Saccharomyces cerevisiae S288C: one gene and its partner. The protein of the gene in region 2 purifies or fractionates together with the protein of the main gene of each other region. This does not show direct contact. Each region holds a gene or a part of one and is shown on either strand. Other genes may lie near its edges. The genes, in order: RNR2 and WTM2.

The links.
Region 1: the proteins of WTM2 (region 2) and RNR2 purify together in Saccharomyces cerevisiae (affinity purification with mass spectrometry; 4 studies listed by BioGRID, with this or other methods). This does not show direct contact.

What each region holds. Positions count from the first base shown.
Region 1 is NC_001142.9:390,422-394,103, reverse strand, and holds RNR2 (ribonucleotide-diphosphate reductase subunit RNR2), read right to left. Parts: upstream 1,701-3,682; coding exon 501-1,700; downstream 1-500. Other genes in the region: RRN7 (Rrn7p), read right to left, coding at 1-137; YJL027C (uncharacterized protein), read left to right, coding at 1,855-2,271; YJL028W (uncharacterized protein), read right to left, coding at 2,458-2,793; VPS53 (Vps53p), read left to right, coding at 3,251-3,682. UniProt on the Saccharomyces cerevisiae protein: Provides the precursors necessary for DNA synthesis. Catalyzes the biosynthesis of deoxyribonucleotides from the corresponding ribonucleotides. RNR2 provides the diiron-tyrosyl radical center.
Region 2 is NC_001147.6:766,288-770,512, reverse strand, and holds WTM2 (transcriptional modulator), read right to left. Parts: upstream 2,105-4,225; coding exon 701-2,104; downstream 1-700. Other genes in the region: MCP1 (Mcp1p), read left to right, coding at 2,736-3,644; HER1 (Her1p), read right to left, coding at 3,948-4,225. UniProt on the Saccharomyces cerevisiae protein: Transcriptional modulator with roles in meiotic regulation and silencing.

The DNA of each region.
Region 1 (3,682 bases), on a different chromosome or scaffold from region 2:
TCTTCATCGTCGTTAAATTCCACGTCACCTTCCATAACGTGACCATATTGGCAGGTTCTTCTCCCATCAATGATACGCCAAAGCCGTGAGGGGCAGTTGTCTGTACCGCAGATGGGACCTCTTATGAAAGTAGACATCCTTAAGTGATGTAGGGGTATGTCCGAGTAGTTCGTTCAACTATTTTTAAAGACACATCGTTCCAGGTTTATATTCATATACATATGTATGTATTGTATAGGTTTTTTTATTTTTTATTTTTTATTTTTTTTTTTTTTTTTTTCAATTTTTTTAAGCTTTTCTTACTTTTCCGATGCCCTTTCCACTTTAATCAATATACGTATGAAATTCAGCCGAAGTTTCCGTTTGATAATATATTAGATTCAATATAAAAAAAAGTTTATATGATTCAGTGTATATATATATATATAAATAAGAGGTGCGAAAGCCCACATAAAGAGATTGAAGAGACTGCGTAAAAAGAAATATATAGAGAGATACTCTTAAAAGTCTTCGTTGAAGGTGAAAGCACCGGCTTCTTGCTTAGTCGACTTGGACATAACACCAGCCTTTTGGTAGTCAGAAACTCTCTTTTCGAAGAAGTTGGTCTTACCGGCCAAGGAGATGTTTTCCATGAAATCGAAGGGGTTTTCGACCTTGTAGTATTTCTTGTTACCGAAAGCAACCAACAGTCTGTCGGCGACGAACTCAACGTATTGGTTCATTAAGTCAGCGTTCATACCTAGCAAAGCAACTGGTAAGGCGTCCAAGAAGTATCTTTGTTCAATTTCCACAGCCTCGGTGACAATTTTTTCAACAATGGCTGGGTCTGGTTTGTTCTTCAAATGGGCGAACAACAAGCATGCAAAGTCGGTGTGCAAACCTTCGTCTCTACAGATCAATTCGTTGGAAAAGGTTAAACCGGGCATCATACCTCTCTTTTTCAACCAGAAAATGGAGGCAAAGGAACCGGAGAAAAAGACACCTTCAATGGAGGCAAAGGCAACTAGTCTTTCACCAAACAAGGCGTCAGCGTCTTGAATCCATCTTAAAGCCCATTCGGCCTTCTCACCGATTTCTGGGATGGTGTGAATGGCATTGAACAAGAATTCACTTTCTTTAGGGTCCTTGATGTAAGTATCGATCAACAAGGAGTAAGTTTCAGAGTGAATATTTTCAATCATGATTTGGAAACCGTAGAAACTCTTTGCCTCTGGAATTTGGACTTCGGTGGAGAAGTTTTCAACCAAGTTTTCATTAACAATACCGTCAGAAGCGGCGAAAAAGGCAAGAACTCTGGAAATGAAAAATCTCTCGTTTTCGTTCATTCTGTTGTTCCAGTCATGGATATCCTTAGACAAATCAATTTCTTCAGCGGTCCAGAAAGAAGCTTCGGCACGCTTGTAGGCTTGCCAGATTTCATGGTACTTGATAGGGAAAAGAACAGTTCTCTCCTTGTCTTCATTCAACAAAGGTTCCTCCTTTTCCATTTCCTTAAGTTTGTGACGGTGAACTTGATGAGATTTCAAGTAAGCCTTGTGATTTTCAGCGTCCTTGCTCAATTTCTCCTTAAGCATGTCTGACTTTACTCTGTTTTCCTCTCTCAATGTCTCCAATTCCTTGTTAAGGTTGGACTTGGAATCTTTGATTTCCAAGTCGGACAATGCATCGGCAGCAGCTTTGGAAGGGGTCTCTTTAGGCATGGTAATTGGACAAATAAATACGTGTATTAAGTTTGGATTCTTTGGTAGATAGCCAATCGAGGGAACAATTAAAAAAAAGAAAGAAATAAAAGACAAGAAGAAGAGCGAAAAAGGGGAAAGTGATGAGGAAAAGAACAATAGATAGATCCAGAAGATGATGGTAACGCGCAAACACTACCGCTATATATACCTACAAAACTCTCATTCTCTCATTTCCTGCTTCGTTCATTTCGAGTTTCCAAGGGTATGGTACGGTGCTATCTGCCCGTGCTTCCCCTCCTTTGCTTTGCTAAGAAAAATTTTCTTTTGTCAGCAGCAACAACACGCTACGCTCTGCGCTGTGCTACGAAGTGGTCTCTGTGGCAACGGGGACATTGTACCCATGCCCGCTCGCAGGGAGGTCTGGGTGTGGGGCGTGTGCGACCTCGTTGCCATGGCGATCGCGCGTGGGTGTGGTCTTTCCCCAAACGGTTGCCCGTTGCTCCGGATTTCGCATAGTTGTCGCGTAAACAAAAAACACGAGAGAGGGCGGACGGCGCTGAATAGTGGAAGATCGCGCGATGTCAAGTAAATAAGCTTGTATTTGTATTTGTATGTGTTTATGTGTTTGTGTGGTTGAGAATTTTATTTTCCTCCTAGTTTTTTCTTTTTTGAGTGCGGAGGGGCAGTGCTCTAAACTTTGCCTGCTTCTTGTTCGACTTCGGCTTCCTATGCAGAACGCAAAATCGCGTGCGCGAGGAACGAGGAAGACAACGCTTTAGATTGGCTTTTTCGTCGCCCATGCCCGTTGCGATAGCGATATGATGAGAAATCGATAAAAGGTTGCACCAGTACACCGCACTTTCTGGCGTGCTTGGATCTGGCTTGCGCGGCCTCGTGCCAGTAAGTAGAAAAGTAGTAATATGGCATGGCGAAAGAGAACAAAACAAGCAAAGCAAGCGTAATGCACAGCTGTGGCTAAAAAAAGAGCACAGAGGTGAAGGGAAAAAAAGATAAAGAAATTAAGGAGGTTGAGAGGGCTTGTGTGTCGATGCTTGGTGAGGCGGGACGTAACGGTTTTTTGTCTGTAGGCACTTCTACCCCACAGGGCCATGAATCTGGCCCGAAACCGTTGCGAGCGTGCCAATTGGTGGTGATATCTTTTTTCTTCCCTTTTTTTTTGTTTTCCGTTCTGTTATGTTCCTTCATCTTGAATTCACTAAAGGGAACAGAAGAAAAAGTTGGATATTAGATAAGCGGTACTTTTCTACAGGTCTAGTATTATTCCTCGGTTGGAACAAGAAATAGTGCTTCAGTAGCTCAGTAGGAAGAGCGTCAGTCTCATAATCTGAAGGTCGAGAGTTCGAACCTCCCCTGGAGCATATTTTTATACGTATATCTTTTTTCCCTCTATTTTGTTTTTTTTTTCTTTGTTTTTTCGTAGCTAGTAAAGAAGAGAAGGAGACCTAAAGTGTATATATACTTAATCTGCGATCATTGAAAAGTCGCTAGCTTATTGTCACTTACTGCATTTTCACAACATCTTCCATTTTTGTTTTCTCAGAAGGACAATGCTGGAAGGTACGGTAGATTATGACCCGCTGGAAGATATTACCAATATACTTTTTTCAAAAGAATCCCTGAACAACATAGATGAACTGATCAGTATTACCAGAAGCTACAAAAAGCAATTGCAAGAGGATATTCTCAAAGAAGAGAATGAATTGAAGGAACACCCTAAAAATTCCGCTGAAATAGAGGCTTCTCTGAGGAAAGTTTTCCAAGATTTCAAAGAAACTCAAGATGTCTCAGCCTCCACCGAGTTGACGATATCGAATCTGACAGAAGGTATCTCGTACCTGGACATTGCCAAGAAAAACCTCACCCACTCTTTGACTCTTTTCCAAAATTTAAAGATATTGACAGACAGTTACATACAATGCAATGAATTACTCTCACAGGGCTCATTCAAAAAAATGGTGTCCCCTTATAAGATAATGTGT
Region 2 (4,225 bases):
ACTATCTACGAGTTGAAATTAAAAGGGAGTAGTGAGCGCCACTATGTGTGCTCACTGTGTATAGCTAAGCAATTACATAAGGGATAGTACATAAACCACCGTATGTTAGGAAAGAGGAAAAAAAGGAAAGACAAAGGTCTTTTGCCTATTGTATGACTTAGCCTTTCTTTGTTATACCCCGGCGCGTTCCAAAAAGGGAAGCCAGCACAGCACCGCATATTGAATACCGCCTTCTCACGTGGTACAGGCACAACTATCTTGCATGTGCCTCTGGGTCTTTCTTAGCGACAGCCTTTTAAGATTCTGAATTGTAAACATCGAGCTTCATCCGAGAAACGAAAGAGGGAATCTTGAAATGGACTATGTCACCATTAGATCCTCCCTCTTCTCCATATAGCCGGTTTTTGTCTTATTTCTTTGCTGGAAAGAAAAAAAAGAAATTGCTTGGTTAATTACTGGTAACCCTCTTTTCTTGAGGCCTTACTTCGTTGGCTTCAGAAATCTGAAAGAGTCTTTATTAGGAGCGATACCAGTATCTATACAACATTATACCATCACTATATATTACAAAAAAAAAAATAACCCCGATAGCGTGCTAGAAATGAATAAAAAAAAAAAAAACAGAATTATGTACGTGAATGCTTGTGAGTTACTGCCTTTCCCATAGGTGGTAACGTTAATTTCTTACTCTTTTTTTTTTTTAATCGTCGTAACCTCTGCCAATGAAGTCACTGGCCAGAAATGGTTTGTAGGCAGTAACAAGACTATCTGAATCAACAGTGCCAACAAAATCATTGATTACGGGGTGTAGCGCCACAGTGTTCCTCTTCCCGAATTGGTTGCTCGATCTTCTTGTGCCACCTGTGTGGAAAAATTTTAAACATTGACCCTGAAGTTCCTCCGGAGCAGCCACTCGAACTTCGTCTTCGTTGTCATCGTCGTTTCTTGAAAAAGAGTACTCCATGTCCCAGTGGTAGACATTACCCGTTCCTCCAACCGTAACAAATTCTGTTGCAGAGGTTTGTGAGAACAGGATATCGACAACGGAATCGCCGCCAGAATGGAACAACTTGGCTATTTCGTTTTGGATCGGTTCCTCGCCGTTCTGCCTATGTGTGAGGTCAGTAGTAGCCAGTTGCACAGCACGCGCATCCCATAGCTTGATGACACCCGTGCTGAACCCAGTGACAAATAGGTTTTCAGTAACTTGAGAGGAATCGAAGGACGTTAGTCGTCCATTTTTCGGTTCGCTTAGCGTCCAAAGCGGTTTGTCCGCTGTTCTTGTGTCCCAGAATCTTAAAATGTTGTCATCTGAACAAGATGCAAATAAATGGTTGTTAAAAAATCTAACTGAGTGAGCCACGTTGGTCCCTGGAACGTGCACTGTACGTAATATATCTCCCGGTCTATCGGAGTTGTCGATGATTTTCAAGATGCTGTCCTCCTCGTAGCCGTTACTTTGTGACTTTACTACCGTATCCATATTTGTCGACACATCAAAATCTGACACTGCTAATGAACCTGGTCTGGTTAGAGAGTGAATACTAGAGTATCTAGTAGCAGGGCCCATCATTTCCTGTACGATATGAACGGGAACCTTGATCTCATCTCTGAACCATGCCAAAGAGCCGTTCTTGGACATCGCGATCGCCGTACTGTCGTCTGAGCTTTCCAAGTATTGCATTTTTGCCACTGTTTCGCCCTGGTAAATCCACTTTGGGCGCAATGGTTTCCCCTCAACATCTTGGAAAGCATCACCATACTCTGGATTTGGGGTGGCTGCAGACTTCGTCTTGCCGTTACCTTCTTCGTCGTCGTCGTCGTTGTCGTCGTCGTCGTCGTCGTCATAGAATGTCTTTAATGGTAAAGTAGTGTCTATTTCGTAAATATCACTACCTTGAGAATATAAAAGACTAGTCGTCAAGGTGCCCTTGGATTTGTCTGGAATAATCTCACTTCTCCATGTCAGTGTCTTGCTAAAATGTAAAACATCGTCGACTCTTGTGCTGAATTGTGGTTTAAAGCTAGAAATGTGTTGGTATAAAGAAGGTGCCGGTTTACGGCGTGCTCCACTCGCACCCTGACTGGATTTGCTTTTCGCCATCCTCTATCCTTTTTAGTTCTTGCTCCCGTCGCTACTAATTGCTCCTTGTCTTATAAGTAAATGTAGCTGTACAGCAGAGATGTTCCATACGTCAGCTAACTAATTGCCTTTAATCTTTTTTTTTTTTATTTTTTTTTTTTTTCAAAAACAATAGAATTGAAGATGTGAGATGGAAAGGGAAATCAAAGTGCCATAAATGGTAAAGGCTTGCATTATGACCCGAATGGGTAAGAATGATCCAATGAGAGTCTGCGGACGCATATGTGCGGAATATGACTTAGCAGTTCGAACCCCGAACGGGGCTAAAAAACCAAAAGGACAAACCTTATGCGGAACATCTACCATCTATTCAAGGGAGTATAGCTTCCGTGTAGACTATAGAAGAAGCGTTCCAGTCAATTCTACTACATCAGTCTTCCGACATCGCTGATTGTATCCTAACCAGGTCCACAACTAAAATTTGTTTTGAAAAGAGTGGCTAGAGAGCGAATACGTGCTCTGTAATTGTGTGAGGCAAGTTGGTCGTCAATTGGAAAATAAGTAAGGAAAACCTTGTGTAGATTGTATTGCTCCTAACAGGTCCCGAATTACTAGGGCATATACCAGTTAGCCCAGAGTTTTGTTTATTACGATGATAAAGTTGCATGAAGTGCCTCCAGAACCAGTAGACCCTGCTAGTCTCCCTCATGATGTTAATGCACATAGCCCCGAAGGAGATGGTAATCCTGATAAGAGGAAAAAAATATTTGGCATTCCGTATCCTTTTTCCAGGAGTTCATGTCGGAGATTCCTTTGGAACTGTCAAAAGATTTCGGTACTGCCCATGGCATTGTATTTCCCACTACATGCAGCAAATACATTAATCACGCCGGCAGTATCACCTGATTCTGCTCCTGACGACGTTTTAATGATGGTGAGAGAGATTTTACCGTCCATAACTACCAAGCTGTTAGTTGCGGGTATTACTCTTCATGTTTCTGCTGGTGTCTTGCTCCGAATCGTGAACAACTGGAACAAGCCAAGAAGAAATAGACATCGACATTTAAAGATATCGGCCGAACAAGATCTATCCCAAGATTCGATTGGTTTAACTGGTGGAATTTCTGGCTATTTATTTGGATTGTATAAGACCTTCCGCATTCCTCCACAAGTGATTAGTGGATACATCCTTGTTCCCGTCCTGATATACCACTTATTAATTATGAAATGGGTGCCGAATTCCATCTCTACTGAGGTGGATTTCGCCTCTATAAAGCAATTACTATCTAGCAAGAACAGGTGGTGGAAATGGCTTGGAGGCCTGGTGCCGTTAGCTATTCTCCTCGAGTCAGGTGTATATCATATAGGTTCGGGGCTCTGCCGTTATTTCGGTGTTAGAAAAATGACTAGCAGGAAAAAATGGTCCACAGCTATCAATCTATTAACACTCGTTGGGTTCGTTTCTCTGATTAGATTGATGAAAGAGGATTCTACGAAACTGGGTCCCAACCAATTCGAAAGCATTTTCAAAAAGATCCGGTTGCTGTTGCACGTGAATTAGGAATCCTTGTGGGAGTAGTGTGAAGCTATTAATTTGCGACAATTCTCGAACAGTTAATTATATTATTCTCAGTATTTATTTTAAATTTCTGTATTTTTATCTGATTAATAACATTAGTGTGCATAATGAAGGCAAAAAATTTCGGCAGAAAGTATATGATTATGAAAAAACGTAAAATACATATACACATAAAACGTACATACATATATAGATTCCTAAGAATACATTATTGATGGGATATTTATACAAAGATGCACCTTCTAATAATCGAAAGAGAAAGGAAAGACAGAAGCATAAAATAATTTAGGTTTTACTGTGACGAACATTAGACAGATCGTTCAATAGTTTGTCATATTTTTTTGTCACTGTTTCATCTTCAACAAGGGGCCTCTGCAAAGGCGCCTTTTGTTGTGATTCTTGTAAACTGTCATTACTCGGGCTTCTAGAGTTCAATTCATCTCCATATAATGATTCCAATCCAACCTTTTCAGAGGTAACATTTTTAATCAGATCATCTACAGAATCAATACCCTTAGCTTTAATAATGGCATCCCTTAATTCGGCACCGGTAGGAATCTTTG